Anolis sagrei: one gene and its partner. The protein of the gene in region 1 interacts with the protein of each later gene in a biochemical or structural test. Links are inferred from orthologs where the notes say so. Each region holds a gene or a part of one and is shown in the gene's direction. Other genes may lie near its edges.

Region 1 (7,277 bases):
GTTGCATAAATTGGTACCGCCAGCGTATCGTTATGAAGGTTAGTCCCATTGAATTCTGGGGTTTACTACAAAAAAATATTACTATAAGTACGCACAGGGTTACATGGCTACTCATCCGCTTCAGAAGCCAGTACAAGACGGACTGCTTGAATACATCACAAGCGGCAAAGAAAATCTTCTTACAAAACGTAATAGCATAATAGGAGAGCTGTGGGAGGGCTAACACAGGGAAAGAATGACAAGTTATTACTAGTACACCTCCATCCCTTTCTTCATTTGTGTAGCACTGTGGAAGATGGAGAGAGCAGGGGCAATTTGTGGATAGAACAAGGGCATGCTTTTCCCCCAACTTTTGTGTGTGTGTGGTATAGAAGCTAATATAATGTAGTGGCTTGAGACTAAGGGCCCTTCCGCACAGCCCTATATCCCAGAATATTCCAGGAGAAAATCCCACAATATCTGAGTGTGGATTCATATAACCCAGTTCAAAGAAGATATTGTGGGATTTTCTGCCTTGATATTCTGGGATATAGGGCTGTGTGGAAGGGCCCTGAGTCCACACTGCCATATATTCCAGTTAAAAGTAGATAATGTGGGATTTTATTCAGCTGTGTGGAAGGGGCCTGAGTCCACACTCAGATGTGGGATTTTCTGCCTTGATATTCTGGGATATAGGCCTGTGCAGAAGGATCCCTAGTTCAAAGCAGATAATGTGGGATTTTATACAGTTGTGTGGATGGGGCCTGAGTAGCCTTGCAGTTGCAAAGCCTGGCTGCTACTGCCTGGGGACATCCATTGTTTGGGAGGTGTTAACAGGCACTTGATTGTTGGCTGCCTGGAATTCCTGTTTCTGAGTAGTGTTCTTTATTCTGGTGTTTTGTTTTTTTTATATTATTACTAGCTGTCCCCTGCCACGCGTTGCTGTGGCCCAGTCTGTGTGTATGTGCTTTGTATGTGCATATATTTGTATATATGTGTACATATGTGTGTTTGCATGCGTGAGTGCATATATGTGTGTGTGTGTGTGTGTAGTTTTGTGCATGCGTTTGTAATGTAATTTTGGCTTTTTAAGTCTCTTCTGCTGTTTTTTTCAGTGTTTTTATGAGTGATGGTCACTCGTTGGCTTGATATGCATATTGTGTCCAAATTTGGTGTCAATTCATCTAGTGGTTTTTGAGTTATGTTAATCCCACAAATGAACATTACATGTCTGTTTATATACTATAGCTGTCCCCTGCCACACATTGCTGTGGCCCAGTCTGGTGATCTGGAAAATAAAGCAATGTGAAAGTGTTGGTTTCTAATATATGCAATGCCTTTATGCTTGTGGGTAAACAGTATTTCTTGTTTTTTTTTGTTGTTTTTTTGTGTCAGTGTTGATGTGGAGATTGTCTGGTTTGCCTACTCTGGAACATGCAACATATAATTGTCCTTCTTTAGGGGTCCCCTTCAAATCTATGATACTATATCTGTGTGTGTGTGAATTATATATCTATATCTATATCTATATCTATAGCTGGATGGCTCTTTGTCAGGAGGGTTTTGATTACGTTTTCTTGCCCTGGTGAAGGGAGTTGGACTGGGTGGCCTTAAGTATTTTCTGTTGATCATGAGGGTTCTGTGTGGGAAGTTTGCCCCAATTCTGTCATTGGTGGGGTTCAGCATGCTCTTTGATTGTAGGTGAACTATCAAAGACCATGCTGAACTCCCAAATGTCAAGGTCTATTTTCCACAAACTCCATCTGTGTTCATATTTGGGCATATGGAATATTCGTGCCAGGTTTCAATGCCCACCAAACCCTTCTAGTGTTTTCTGTTGGTCATGGGAGTCCTATGTGCCACATTTGGTTCAATTCCATCATTGGTGGAGTTCAGAATGATCTTTGATTGTAAGTAAACTATAAATCCCAGCAACTACAACTCCCAAATGACAAATCAATTTTTTTGAGTGATGGTTCTCCTTGGGTTAGTAGGTGTCTTGTGGCCAAATTTGGTGGCAATTCGCCCATTAGTTTTTGAGTTCTGTTAATCCCACAAACGAACATTGCATTTTTATTTATATAGACTAGCCATCCACTGCCACACGTTGCTGTGGCCCAGTCTGTGTATATGTGCTTTGTGTGTATATATATGTGTATATATATATGTGTATATATGTGTGTTTGTGTATATATGTGCTTTTGCACATTCGTTGTAATGTATATATAATATTTGGCTTTTTCAATCTCTTCTTCTGTGTTTTTCAGTGTTTTTATGAGTGATGGTCATTTGTTGGCCTGATAGGAGTATTGTGTCCAAATTTGGTGTCAATTTGCCCAGTGGTTTTTGAGTTATGTTAATCTCACAAACGAACATTACATTTTTATTTATCTACTAGCTGTCCCATGCCACGCGTTGCTATGGCCCAGTCTAGTGATCAGGAAAATAAAGTAATGAGAAAATGTTGGTTTCTAATATATGTAATGTCTTGATGCTTGTGGGTAAACAGTATTTCTTGCTGTTTCTTTGTCAGTGTTGATGCGGAGAGTGTGTGGTTTGCCTACTCTGGAACATGCAACATATAATTGTCCTTCTTTAAGGGTCCCTTTCAAATTTATGATACTATATCTGTGTGTGTGTGAATCATATCTATCTATATCTACTACTGGATGGCTCTTTGTCAGGAGGGCTTTGATCACGTTTTCTTACCCTGGTGAAGGGAGTTGGACTCGATGGCCTTAAGTAATTTCTGTTGGTCATGGGGGTTCTGTGTGGGAAGTTTGCCCTAATTCTCTTGTTCATTGGATTAAGAATGCTCTTTGATTGTAGGTGAACTGTGAATCCCAGTATCTACAACTCCCAAATGTCAAGGTCTATTTTCCCCAAACTGCACTGGTGTTCGCTTTTCGGTATATTGACTATGTGTGCCAAGTTTGGTCCAGATCCATCATTGTTTGAGTCCACAGTGCTCTCTGGATGTAGGTGAACTACAACTCCCAAACTCAAGATCAATGCCCACCAAACACTTCTAGTATTTCTGTTGGTCATGGGAGTCCTATCTGCCAAGATTAGTTCAGTGCAATCATTGGTGGAGTTCAGAATGCCCTTTGATTGTAGGTGAACTATAAAATCCAGCAACTACAACTCCCAAATGACAAAATCTATTTTTTGAGTGAAGGACATACATTGGGTTGATAGGTGTAGCGTGTCCAAATTTGGTGCCAATTCCCACAGTGGTTTTTGAGTTCTGTTAATCCAACAAACGAACATTACATTTTTATTTATATAGACTAGCCATCCCCTGCCACGCGTTGCTGTGGCCCATTCTGTGTATATGTGTTTTGTGTGTGTATATGTATGTGTATATATTTGTGTATGTGGTTTTGCACATGCATTGTAATGTATTGTTTATTATTTGGCTTTTAAAGTCCCTTCTGCAGTGTTTTTCAGTGTTTTTATGAGTGATGGTCACTGGTTGGTTTGATATGTGTCTTGTGTCCAAATTTGGTGTCAATTCGTCCAATGGTTTTTGAGTTATGTTAATCCCACAAACGAACATTACATTTTTATTTATATAGACCAGCCGTCCCCTACCATGTGTTGCTGTGGCCCAATCTGTGTATGTGTTTTGCATGTATATATATGTGTATATGTGTGTGTATATATATTTATGTATATGTGTATATATGTGTGTTTGTGTATATATGTGGTTTTCTGCATGCGTTGTAATGTATTTTTGGTTTTTAAGTCTCTTCTGTTGTGTTTTTATGCGTGATGGTCACTCATTGGTCTGATAGGTGTATTGTGCCTAAATTTGGTGTCAATTCATCCAGTGGTTTTTGGGTTATGTTAATCCCACAAATGAACATTACATTTTTATTTATATAGATAAGATTAATTAATACTGGTAACCAGATTATTATGCTTTCCTCCTTTCTGTTGAAATTGTCTACGTTTGTGGATTTCAATGGCTTCTCTGTGTAGTCTGGCATGATGGCTGTCAAGAGTGGTCCAGCATGTCTCTGTTTCCAAATAGTATTCTGTGTTGGTTGGTTTATCAAGTGACTTCTCTGGTGGAATTATCCCTACCTTGATCGAGTTTACCCTTGCAAGAAGGGGCATATATTTTTTTTTTGTTTCAAAGCCGGTCCCCCCTTTTTTTCCCAGAGACAAAGAACCAGGTTAGAAAAAGGAGCGCCAGCAGCGTCCGCTCGTGCGCAGGCGCAAACAAGGGAGGTGTCGAGAGAGGACAAGAGCGGCGCGTGAAGTGCGCCTGCGCGGCAGAGCCCCATCTGGCTCGCTAGGGAGGACTCTCATAGGCGAAGGTTCGGGAGCTTGTGCGCGCGGCCGCGGCAGGAGAGGCGCGCTCCCGTTCTCCTCTGCTGTCACTCCCCCTCCTCCCGGCTTTTGGTGAGCGAGGCTTTTCCAGCGAGCTTTCCCTGCAGCAGCGGTCGCAGCCGCAGCGCCAGGTAGGGTTTCCCTGAAGGGGGGGAAAGGCCCCTTTGAGGTTTGGCAAGGCTTGGGAAGCGGGCTGAGGTTGGGAAGGGTCTGGGCTTATTAGCCTTGAGGTGCATGAGGGAGCGCTCTAGCAATGGCACCACGGTTCCAGCTCCATGCCAGACAGGGGAGGCTTGCTTCATGCTGCCTTTCCATTTGCTCAGTCTCTGTTATCATTCAAATAGGACCTTATTCTTCTTTAACCACACCCCTCCCTCCAAAGGAGCCTTGTGGTGAATGAGCCACGCACTTGCCACCTGCCAAGGCTTATGTGGCAATAGGCACAGAGAGAGAAATTACTCCTCTGGGGCTTATTGCAAAAAATAGCCCATTTCCATCCACAGCCATTGATTCTTCTGAGGCAAAATGGGGCAGCAGCAGGGGTGTGTCTCTCCTGAACCTCAATAGGCTTCCTTGCAGGAGAAAGGTGTGCCTTTCAGCTCTTTCCTACACACACACATGCTTTGTCATAGTGTTCAAACAATGCAGCCTTGCATGTTGATAATTGGAAGACATTTGGAGGGATTTTTTTTTTTTTTGGATGGAGAGAAATCATCAAAAAATGTCACAAATGAATTCTCCATCTATGGATTCACAGGTGACTTTTTCCTCCATTTGAGACTTGAAGGAGAAAGAAAACAATGAAATGGAACAAATGGCTCTCTTGCGGTGGTGATGCTTCCAGTTAAAATTTAAGGATGTCATCTTTGGACTCTCTATTCTTCTCCGTTTTTTGACATGCTCCCCCTCCTCTTTTTCCCTTTGCCGGTCCCTCCCATAGGTCTGTGCTCCTCTTTGGAAGACTGGTTTTGATTGTGAGGGAGATGGCGAATGATAGGCTGTTGGTGCTGCAGTAGGTGTGGATCTCGGAGGGAGAAAAAGGATGGGCTCTTCCCCCTCCCTTTCACATCGGTGGTGCCATGTTTTGCAGTCCATGTCATATTTCCAGGATTGCTTAGAGCGTTTGCGTGATTGGGGGGGAAAAATAGACTGACAACCTACCAAAGGAAAAGGTGCTCTATGTTACTGTATTTTCACGGGGGAAAGGATGCTATCTAGGTCATCTACTTTAGAGGAGGGGTTGCTTTGTTCTATAAATGGGTCAAAATTATGGGATTTACCTTTGGGGTTTTAAAATCATGGGTGTGACAACAGAGCAAGGCTAGGGCTCCTTTTGAGAACGAAAACACGTCTCTTCCACCATCTCACACCATAATTAAATTGCCAACCTTACATTAATAGAAAATATTCTGAATAGAAATATAATTTACCAGCACATATTTCCAGATGTAGATCTAGCGATGTAACAGCAGAGTGAGGTTAGTGCGTAGTGTGTTGTGTTGTATGTCTGTGTGTTGGGGGGGGGGGGGGATGAAGATAGCTCTCTTCTACAATCCTACCCCACTCCATATTTAATTACCGACCTCACATTAGTAGAAGTATTCTGAACAGAAATATAATACATCGGCACGTATTTCTGGATGTAGATGTAGTGCCATTTTTTGCTCTGCCTATGCCGAGATGTGCAGCCCAATTGTTTGGTGTCTTCATTGTGATATTTTTTCCCCAGTTTCAAATGGTTTTCTCACAGGGGGAAAATGGATCAGAGTGTAATAGCAGCGGCTGGTCACGCCCAGTGGTAGGCTTGAATACATGGTTGCAAAGTACAGTTCTCATTGGGTAAAGATTGTGGTATGCTCATGTAGTTTTGGGTGGGGATGAAGAGGAAAAAATCCTTTGTCTACTTCCAGAATTAGCATTTTGAAAGCTCTTTTGCTAGAAGTAATATTGTAACCCCTTCTGTTAAATCTTTTTGCTAGAATTGATATGTCCACTTCTATTTTTTAATCGAGTATCATGTCTAATTACAATGTGCAAATATAAACTCCTGTATTGGTAAGTAACATCAGTGATTTTGTTCAACAAGAGTGGCGTGATATGATAGGATGGATGAGATCATACAATTCAAGATAGAAACATTTCCCAGGATCACCATTCTCTTCTCTCAGTCCTTTAAATAGTTGATTTATAGCTTCACTACTCTATTCTTAACTTACTTCCAGAATGTGTGAACACAATAAGTTTTTGCTATAATGAAAGGCAGCAGTTATATAATACTTGAGATTTTGCAGATATTATGAGGCATTCTTAGAATAATTTTGTTTAGTTATTCAACACTGTTACCTCCATGTCGCAGTTGGCAGATAAGACTGGATTTTCTAAGCTGCCAAGTGGCTTCTTGGCTGAAGTGACCACTACACCAGCTTTCTAATACTGCATTCTGTCCTACATAAGATATGAAAGGGAGTATATCATAGGAATATGTCCTTTATTACTATTCCATTGAAGTTGCTACAAAATGTTGGTTTTATTGAAATGACGCTAGAGCTCTGCTCTCTCGTGTTGGGTCATTTCTTCTCCATTACAGTGAATAGTTTTGGAAGACATCTAGGTGTTAACAGAAGCATTTTTAGTTGGGAAAACTGTTTGTTATTTTGTGGTTCGTACAGAACTAAATGAAAAGCCACTTCTAGCATTACAAGATATCCTATTACATATTTCACTAACTACAGGGGGTGGTTGGTGGGTACTCAGGACAGGGCTTTCTCAGGAACATCCACACTCTTGTTACATCTAGGATAGATTACTGTAATACACTTTACGTGGGGTTGCCTTTGAAGACTGCTCGGAAGCTTCAAATAGTCCGAGAGGCAGCTAGGTTAATAACAGGGAGCATACAATTCCCATATTACACCAGCTCTACTGGCTGCCAGTTTGCTACCGGCTACAATTTAGTGCTG
Region 2 (7,459 bases), on another chromosome or scaffold:
TGTCAATTCGTCCAGTGGTTTTTGTGTTCTGTTAATCCCACAAACGAACATTGCATTTTTATTTATATAGATTAAATAATAATAATAAATAGAAACAAATAATAACAAATAATAAAATATATGCTCCTGGTCACAATGGGCCGTGTTTTTGAAATTCCACCAATGCCTGTTAATTCGTAGCCAATAATAAAATTAAAATAAAATAAAATTCAATAATAACATATAGTTTGACAACATATAGTCCTCAGCCTTCTCTTCCTAACCAGACTACAAGTCCCATATGATAGCAGTGAAAGAGGTGTCAAACTGCATCTATTTTGCAATGTAAACACACCCGGCGTTTACTGCTGTTGGGTGGAGATGAATCAATCAGGGCAGGATTTCATCACATCACATCTTGGAATGCTCTCCTTAATTACAGCTGCATAGATCTGCATGACAACCTTGAGGACTAGCCCCATAACAGGAAGGATAGGCCTATGTGTGTGTGTACATATATATTTAAAAGGCCACTGGCAAGCCTTCAGAAGGCATTCCAGGGCAACCCTGCTCTCTGCCCATGCTCAGGGGCAATCTTCTAATGGAAAGAAATGGGAAAGGATATTAAAACAAGAGCACGCTTTCATCAAATAGATCGTCTGCCCATGCTCAGGGGCACTCTTCCCATGCTTGGGCTGGAAGGAAAGAGAGAAAGGAAATGGAGAAAGAGCAATCTAACATCTCCTCCAAGTCTGGGGAAGAGTGGCTTTCTCCCAAGGAATGCTCTCTGCCCATGCTCAGGGGCAATCCCACTCCAGGGCTGGAAAGATAGGAAGGAGGAAAGGACATCTCCCAAAGATGCACTCTGCTTATGCTCAGGGGAATGTTTCTAATGCTCTCTCAGGGCTGGAAAGGAAGGAAGGAGAGAAAGAAGGAAGAAAGGAAAGGAAGAAAGGAAGGATGAGGAAGGAAGGAAAGAAAGAAAGAAAGAAAGAAAGAAGGAAGAAAATAAGGAAGGATGGAAGGAAAGAAAGAAAGAAAGAAAGAAGAAAGGAAGGAAGGAAAGAAAGAAAGAAAGAAAGAAGGAAAGAAGGAAGGAAAGAAGGAAGGAAGAAAATAAGGAAAGAAGGAAGGGTGGAAGGAAAGAAAGAAAGAAAAAAGAAAGGAAAGAAAGAAAGAAAAAGGAAAGAAAGAAAGAAAGAAAGAAGGATGGAAGGAAAGAAAGAAGGAAGGAAGGACGAAAATAAGGAAAGAAGGAAGGATGGAAGGAAAGAAGGAAAGGAAAAAGGAAAGAAAGAAATAAGGAAAGAAGGAAGGAAGGAAGGAAGGAAGGAAGGAAGAAAAGAGAATGATGAAATCCCAGTTCTAGAGCAGAATTGTTTTCTCCCAAAGGTGCACTCTGCTTATGCTCAGGGGAATGTTCCTAATGCTATCTCAGAGCTGGAAAGCAAGGAAGGAGAGAAAGAAGGAAGAAAGGAAAGAAAGAAAGGAAGGATGAGGAAGGATGAGGAAGGAAGGAAGGAAGGAAGGAAGGAAGGAAGGAAGGGAAGAATGAGAATGGTGAAAGCCCACTACTGGGGCAGAGCTGCTTTCTCCCAAAGATGCACTCTTCACAAGTTCAGGGACAGTCTTCTAATGCTTTCCCAGGTCAGGGCTGGAGAGAAAGAAGGCAGGCAGGAAGAAAAGAAAGAAGGAAAGGAAGGAAGATGGAAGGAAAGAAGGAAGGATGGAAGGAAAGAAAGAAAGAAAGAAAGAAAGAAAGAAAGAAAAGAGGCAGGCAGGCAGAAAGGAAGAAAATAAGGAAAGAAGGAAGGATGGAAGTAAAGAAAGAAAGAAAAAAGGAAGGCAGGCAGGAAGGAAGGAAGGAAGGAAGAAAACAAGGAAAGAAGGAAGGAAGAAAATAAGGAAAGAAGGAAGGATGGAAGAAAATAAGGAAAGAAGGAGGGATGGAAGGAAAGAAGGAAGAAAATTAGGAAAGAAGGATGGAAGAAAAGAAAGAAAGAAGAAAGGAAGAATGAAAATAAGGAAAGAAGGAAGGATGGAAGGAAAGAAAGAAAAAAGGAAGGAAGAAAGAAAAGAGAATGATGAAATCCCACTTCTGGAGCAGAGTTGTTTTCTCCCAAAGATGCACTCTGCTTATGCTCAGGGGAACATTTCTAATGCTATCTCAGGGCTGGAAAGAAAGGAAGGAGAGAAAGAAAGAAAGAAAGGATGAGGAAGGAAGGAAGAAAAAGAGAATGATAAAATCCTACTTCTGGAGCAGTTGTTTTCTTCCAAAAATGCACTCTGCGTATGCTCAGGGGAATGTTTCTAATGCTATCTCAGGGCTGGAAAGGAAGGAAGGAGAGAAAGAAGGGAGAAAGGAAAGGAAGAAAGGAGAATGGTGAAAGCCCACTACTGGACTAGAGCTGCTTTCTCCCAAAGATGCACTCTGCACAAGCTCAGGGGCAGTCTTCTAATGCTTTCCCCGGCCAGGGCTGGAGAGAAAGAAGGCAGAAAGGAAGAAAAGAAAGATGGAAAGAAGGAAGGATGGAAGGAAAAATGGAAGGAAAGAAAGAAAGCAGGAAGGAAATAAGAAAAGAAGGAAGGATGGAAGGAAAGGAAGAAAGCAGGGAGGAAGAAAAGAAATAAGGAAAGAAGGAATGAAGGATGGAGGGAAAGAAAGAAGGAAGGAAAGTAGGAAGGAAGAAAAGAAATAAGGAAAGAAGGAAGGATGGAAGGAAAGAAAAAAAAGAAGGAAGGAAGGAAGGAAGGCAGGCAGGAAGAAAAGAAAGAAGGAAAGAAAGAAAGAAGGAAGGAAAGAAGGAAGCAAAGAAAGAAAAAAAGAAGGAAGGAAGGAAGAAATAAGGAAGGAAAGAAATCCCACTTCATTGCCTCACTGCTTTCTCCCAAGGCTGGATAGAAAGAAGGAAGGAAAAAGAGAAGGAATGAAATAAAAAAGGAAGGGAAGGAAAGAAAAAAAAAAGAAGGGAGGGAGGAAAGAAAGAAGGAAGGATGGTAAGAAAGAGAGAAAGGAGGAAGGAACGGAAGAAAAAAGAAAGAAGGAAGGTAAGAAAGAAAGAAGTAAATGTGGGAAGAAAGTGAGAAGAAAAACGAAGGAATGAACTAAAAAAGGAAGGAAAAGGAAGGAAAGAAAAGAAGAAAGAAAGAAAAGGGGGAGAAGAGAAAGAGGGAAGGAAGGATAGTAGGAAAGAAAGGGAGAAAGAAAGAAGGAAAGAAAGAAAGAGGAAAAAGAAGGAATGTGGAAAGAAAGAGGGAAGGAAGAAAGAAAGAAGGAAGGATAGTAGGAAAGAAAGGGAGAAAGAAAGGAGGAAGGAAGGAAAGAAATAAAGGGGAAAAAGAAGGAATGTGGAAAGAAAGAGGGAAGGAAGAAAGAAGGATAGTAGGAAAGAAAGGGAGAAAGAAAGAAGGAAAGTAAGAAAGAGGAAAAAGAAGGAATGTGGGAAGAAAGAGGGAAGGAAGAATAGTAGGAAAGAAAGAGAGAAAGAAAGGAGGAAGGAAGGAAAGAAAGAAAAAGGAAAAAGAAGGAATGTGGAAAGAAAGAGGGAAGGAAGAAAGAAGGAAGGATAGTAGGAAAGAAAGGGAGAAAGAAAGAAGGAAAGAAAGAAAGAAAGAGGAAAAAGAAGGAATGTGGATAGAAAGAGGGAAGGAAGAATAGTAGGAAAGAAAGAGAGAAAGAAAGGAGGAAGGAAGGAAAGAAAGAGGAAAAAGAATGAATGTGGAAAGAAAGAGGGAAGGAAGAAAGAAGGAAGGATAGTAGGAAAGAAAGAGAGAAAGAAGGAAGGAAGGAAAGAAATAAAGGGGGAAAAGAAGGAATGTGGAAAGAAAGAGGGAAGGAAGAAAGAAGGAAGGATAGTAGGAAAGAAAGAAAGAAAGGAGGAAGGAAGGAAAGAAATAAAGGGGGAAAAGAAGGAATGTGGAAAGAAAGAGGGAAGGAAGAAAGAAGGAAGGATAGTAGGAAAGAAAAGGAGAAAGAAAGAAGGAAAGAAAGAAAGAGGAAAAAGAAGGAATGTGGAAAGAAAGAGGGAAGGAAGAAAGAAGGAAAGAAAGAAAGAAAGAAGGAAGGAAGGAAGAAAGAAAGAGGAAAAAGAAGGAATGTGAGAAGAAAAAAGAAGGAATGAAAGAAAAAAGGAAGGAAAGAAAAAAGAAAGGAGGGAGGAAAACCAAGGAAGGAAAAAAGAAAGAAGAGAAGAAAGACCAGTTTATGGCCTCCGGCGCCTGAGCCAAAGCCACCTTTTTCTTAAGGCCGCCCTCTGCTCATGCTCAGGGGCCCTCTTGCATCCCCCCCCCCTTCCCAGCAAAGGTCTCCTTCCCTTCCTTCCTCCCTTCCTTCCTTCTGAGGCTCTTTTTACGCAGGAGGAGAAGCGGCGCCTTTAAGAGCCGGGCGGAGGGGGGGGGTTCAGTTTGGCTCCCCCTCCCCCTCTCTTTCCCCTCCCTCCCTCCCTCCCTGCTCGGGGCCCCGCCCTCCTCCCTCCCTCCCTCCCTCCCTCCTTCGCCGCGTCCAGCCTTTGGAGAGGCCGGGCCAGAGAGGAGGGGAGGGGGGGGGCACCTGAAAGAAGCCTCTCCCGTTCCGAGACCGGGCCTCCGGGGGGGCTCTACCATGGACCCCCCGCTTGGGCATCGCTTCCTGGTCCGGATCCTCGGCCTTGTGTGAACCCCCGGTTCGGAAGCGGGGGGCAGGGCGGCTTGGCACAAAAGGTGCCCCCCAACCCAGTCCAATCCGTCCAGGGCGCACGGGAAGCGCAGCCAGCGACAGCGGGGAAGCGGCCTTTCCGCCCTTTTGGGGGGACTATTGGGGTCCCCTCGAGTGGGGACGGGCTCCCTTCTCTCCGAGGGTGCCCCCCGCCTTCCCTTGGCCCCTTCCCCCCTTGTTTTGCCCCCCAAAAGAGGAGAGGAGAGCCTGATGTTCGGAGAGAGGAAAAGGACGCAGAAGAGGAGGAAGGAGAGCCACTAGCCAAGGGGGAAGGCGAGGAAAAGATCCCTTTTCCCCGGAAATTACGACCCCCACATCTCCCCCTCCCCTTGGGACCCTTTTCGGAAGAGGAAAAGGAAGGAGAAGAGGAAGGAAACGAGGAGGAGGAGGAGGAGGAGGAAGAAGGAGAAGATGTCTTTGCGAACCGCGTTGGCCGCCGGCAATGAGCGCAATGCCGACACCGTGAGTCTTTCTCTCTTTCCATCCCTTTTTGGTGATTGTTTACTTGTTGGTTTGCTTCCAGGGAGGGGGGGCAAGGAAGCCCCCCCTCTGGGCTTCCCTTTGGGGCCGGATTGAGGCCCCATCTCCACCGCCAGCCCCCCCAAAGCCCCACCCCAAAGATGCGTAATGATGGAGCTGCTTTCTCTCTCTCTCTCTCTCTCCATCCCCACTTGGAGGAAGGAGGATGGAGTAGCTTTGTCAAAGGGGGGGGGGGGGGAGGGACAGGGGCCTCTCTCTCTCTCTCTCTCTCTCTCTGACCTTTGTCTCCCCCCCCCCCCCCAACCACCACAACAGACCCTAAAAGACATGCCAGGGACTGGTCTGAACTGGGGAAAGAAGACTCCATTTGGAGGCCCCCAATCCCTTTGGCCACCCATTCTCTTCCTCCAAAATTATATTCCTGTTTGGGAATATGAGGGAAAGGGGGCATTCTCCCCTCCCCACAACAGACCCCAAAAGGCATGCCAGGGACTGGTCTGAACTGGGGAAAGAAGGCTCCATTTGGAGGCTGCCCAATCTCTTTGGCCACCCATTCTCCTCCTCCAAAATTATATTCCTGTTATATTCCTCCAAAATTATATTCTTGTTTGGGAATATGAGGGAAAGGGGACACTCTCCCCATTCTCTCTCTCTCTCTGACCTTTCTCTCCCCCCCCCTCCCCACAACAGACCCCAAAAGACATGCCAGGGACTGGTCTGAACTGGGGAAAGAAGTCTCCATTTGGAGACTGCCCAATCCCTTTGGAAACCCATTCTCTTCCTCCAAAATTATATTCCTGTTTGGGAATATGAGGGGAAGGGGGCATTCTCCCCATTCTCTCTCTCTCTCTCTCTCTCTCTGATCTTTCTCTCCCCCTCCCCTCCCCACAACAGGCCCCAAAAGACATGTCAGGGACTGGTCTGAACTGGGGAAAGAAGGCTCCATTTGGAAGCTGCCCAATCCCTTTGGCCACTCATTCTCCTCCTCCAAAATTATCTTCCTGTTTGGGAATATGAGGGAAAGGGGGCATTCTCCCCATTCTCTCTCTCTCTGGCCTTTTTCTCCCCCTCCCCTCCCCTCCCCTCCCCACAACAGACCCCAAAAGACATGCCAGGGACTGGTCTGAACTGGGGAGAGTAGACTCCATTTGGAGGCTGCCCAATGCCTTTGGAAACTCATTCTCCTCCTTCTCCAATATTATGTTCCTGTTTGGGAATATGAGAGGGAAAGGGGGCATTCTTCCCTCCCCACAACAGACCCCAAAAGACATGCCAGGGACTGGTCTGAACTGGGGAAAGAAGGCTCCATTTGGAGGCTGCCCAATCTCTTTGGACACCCATTCTCCTCCTCCTTCTCCAAAATTATCTTCCTGTTTTGGAATATGAGGGAAAGGGGGCATTCTCCCCATTCTCTCTCTCTCTCTCTCTCTCTCTCTCTCTCTCTCTCTCTCTGACCTTTCTCTCCCCCTCCCCTCCCCACAACAGACCCTAAAAGACATGCCAGGGACTGGTCTGAACTGGGGAAAGAAGACTCCATTTGGAAGCTGCCCAATCCCTTTGGCTACCCATTCTCTTCCTCCAGATTTATATTCCTCCAAAATTATATTCCTGTTTGGGAATATGAGGTAAATGGGGCATTCTTCCCTCCCCACAACAAACCCCAAAAGACATGCCAGGGACTGGTCTGAACTGGGGAAAGAAGACTCCATTTGGAGGGTTCCCAGTCCCTTTGGAAACTCATTCTCCTCCTCCTTCTCCAATATTATATTCCTGTTTGGGAATATGAGGGCGAAATGGGGCATTCTTCCCTCCCCACAACAAACCCTAAAAGACATGCCAGGGACTGGTCTGAACTGGGGAAAGAAGACCCCAGTCCCTTTGGCCACTCATTCCCCTCCTCCTTCTCCAATATTATCTTCCTGTTTGGGAATATGAGAGGGAAAGGGGCCTCCTTCCTGCCCTTCCCCATTCATGGATTCCCTGGATCTGACCCTAAAGAGAGGCCTTGGGATGCGGCTGGAATGCCAATGGCGCTTCATGTTGTTGCCATGTTTGGAATGGGATCCAAAGGCTTTTCATGTCCCTAAACCACTTTGAGTCTCCTTGTGGAGAGATAGAGCAGGGGATAAATAAACACCATAATAATAATAATTATAATGGCATGAATGAATGAATGGAGGGGGGAATGATTTAAATGCCACAGATACCTTCCTCTTCTCTGCCTCCATCCTCAAACAACCAGAATAATAATATATAACATATTACCAATATATATACACACACACACACACACAATATGTGTGTGTG

What was found. The genes of interacting proteins can lie anywhere in the genome.
Region 2: of the proteins of MAPT (region 1) and MAP/microtubule affinity-regulating kinase 4, one has a biochemical effect on the other in vitro, tested with the Homo sapiens proteins (2 studies listed by BioGRID). The link is inferred for Anolis sagrei from reciprocal best matches to the Homo sapiens genes MAPT and MARK4.

Annotation. Positions count from the first base shown.
Region 1 is NC_090026.1:44,350,136-44,357,412, reverse strand, and holds the start of MAPT (microtubule-associated protein tau), read left to right. Parts: upstream 1-4,264; 5' UTR 4,265-4,448; intron 4,449-5,398; exon of another isoform or gene 5,399-5,489; intron 5,490-7,277. UniProt on the Homo sapiens protein: Promotes microtubule assembly and stability, and might be involved in the establishment and maintenance of neuronal polarity.
Region 2 is NC_090035.1:81,015,721-81,023,179, reverse strand, and holds the start of MAP/microtubule affinity-regulating kinase 4, read left to right. Parts: upstream 1-4,459; 5' UTR 4,460-5,083; coding exon 5,084-5,134; intron 5,135-7,459. UniProt on the Homo sapiens protein: Serine/threonine-protein kinase. Phosphorylates the microtubule-associated protein MAPT/TAU. Also phosphorylates the microtubule-associated proteins MAP2 and MAP4.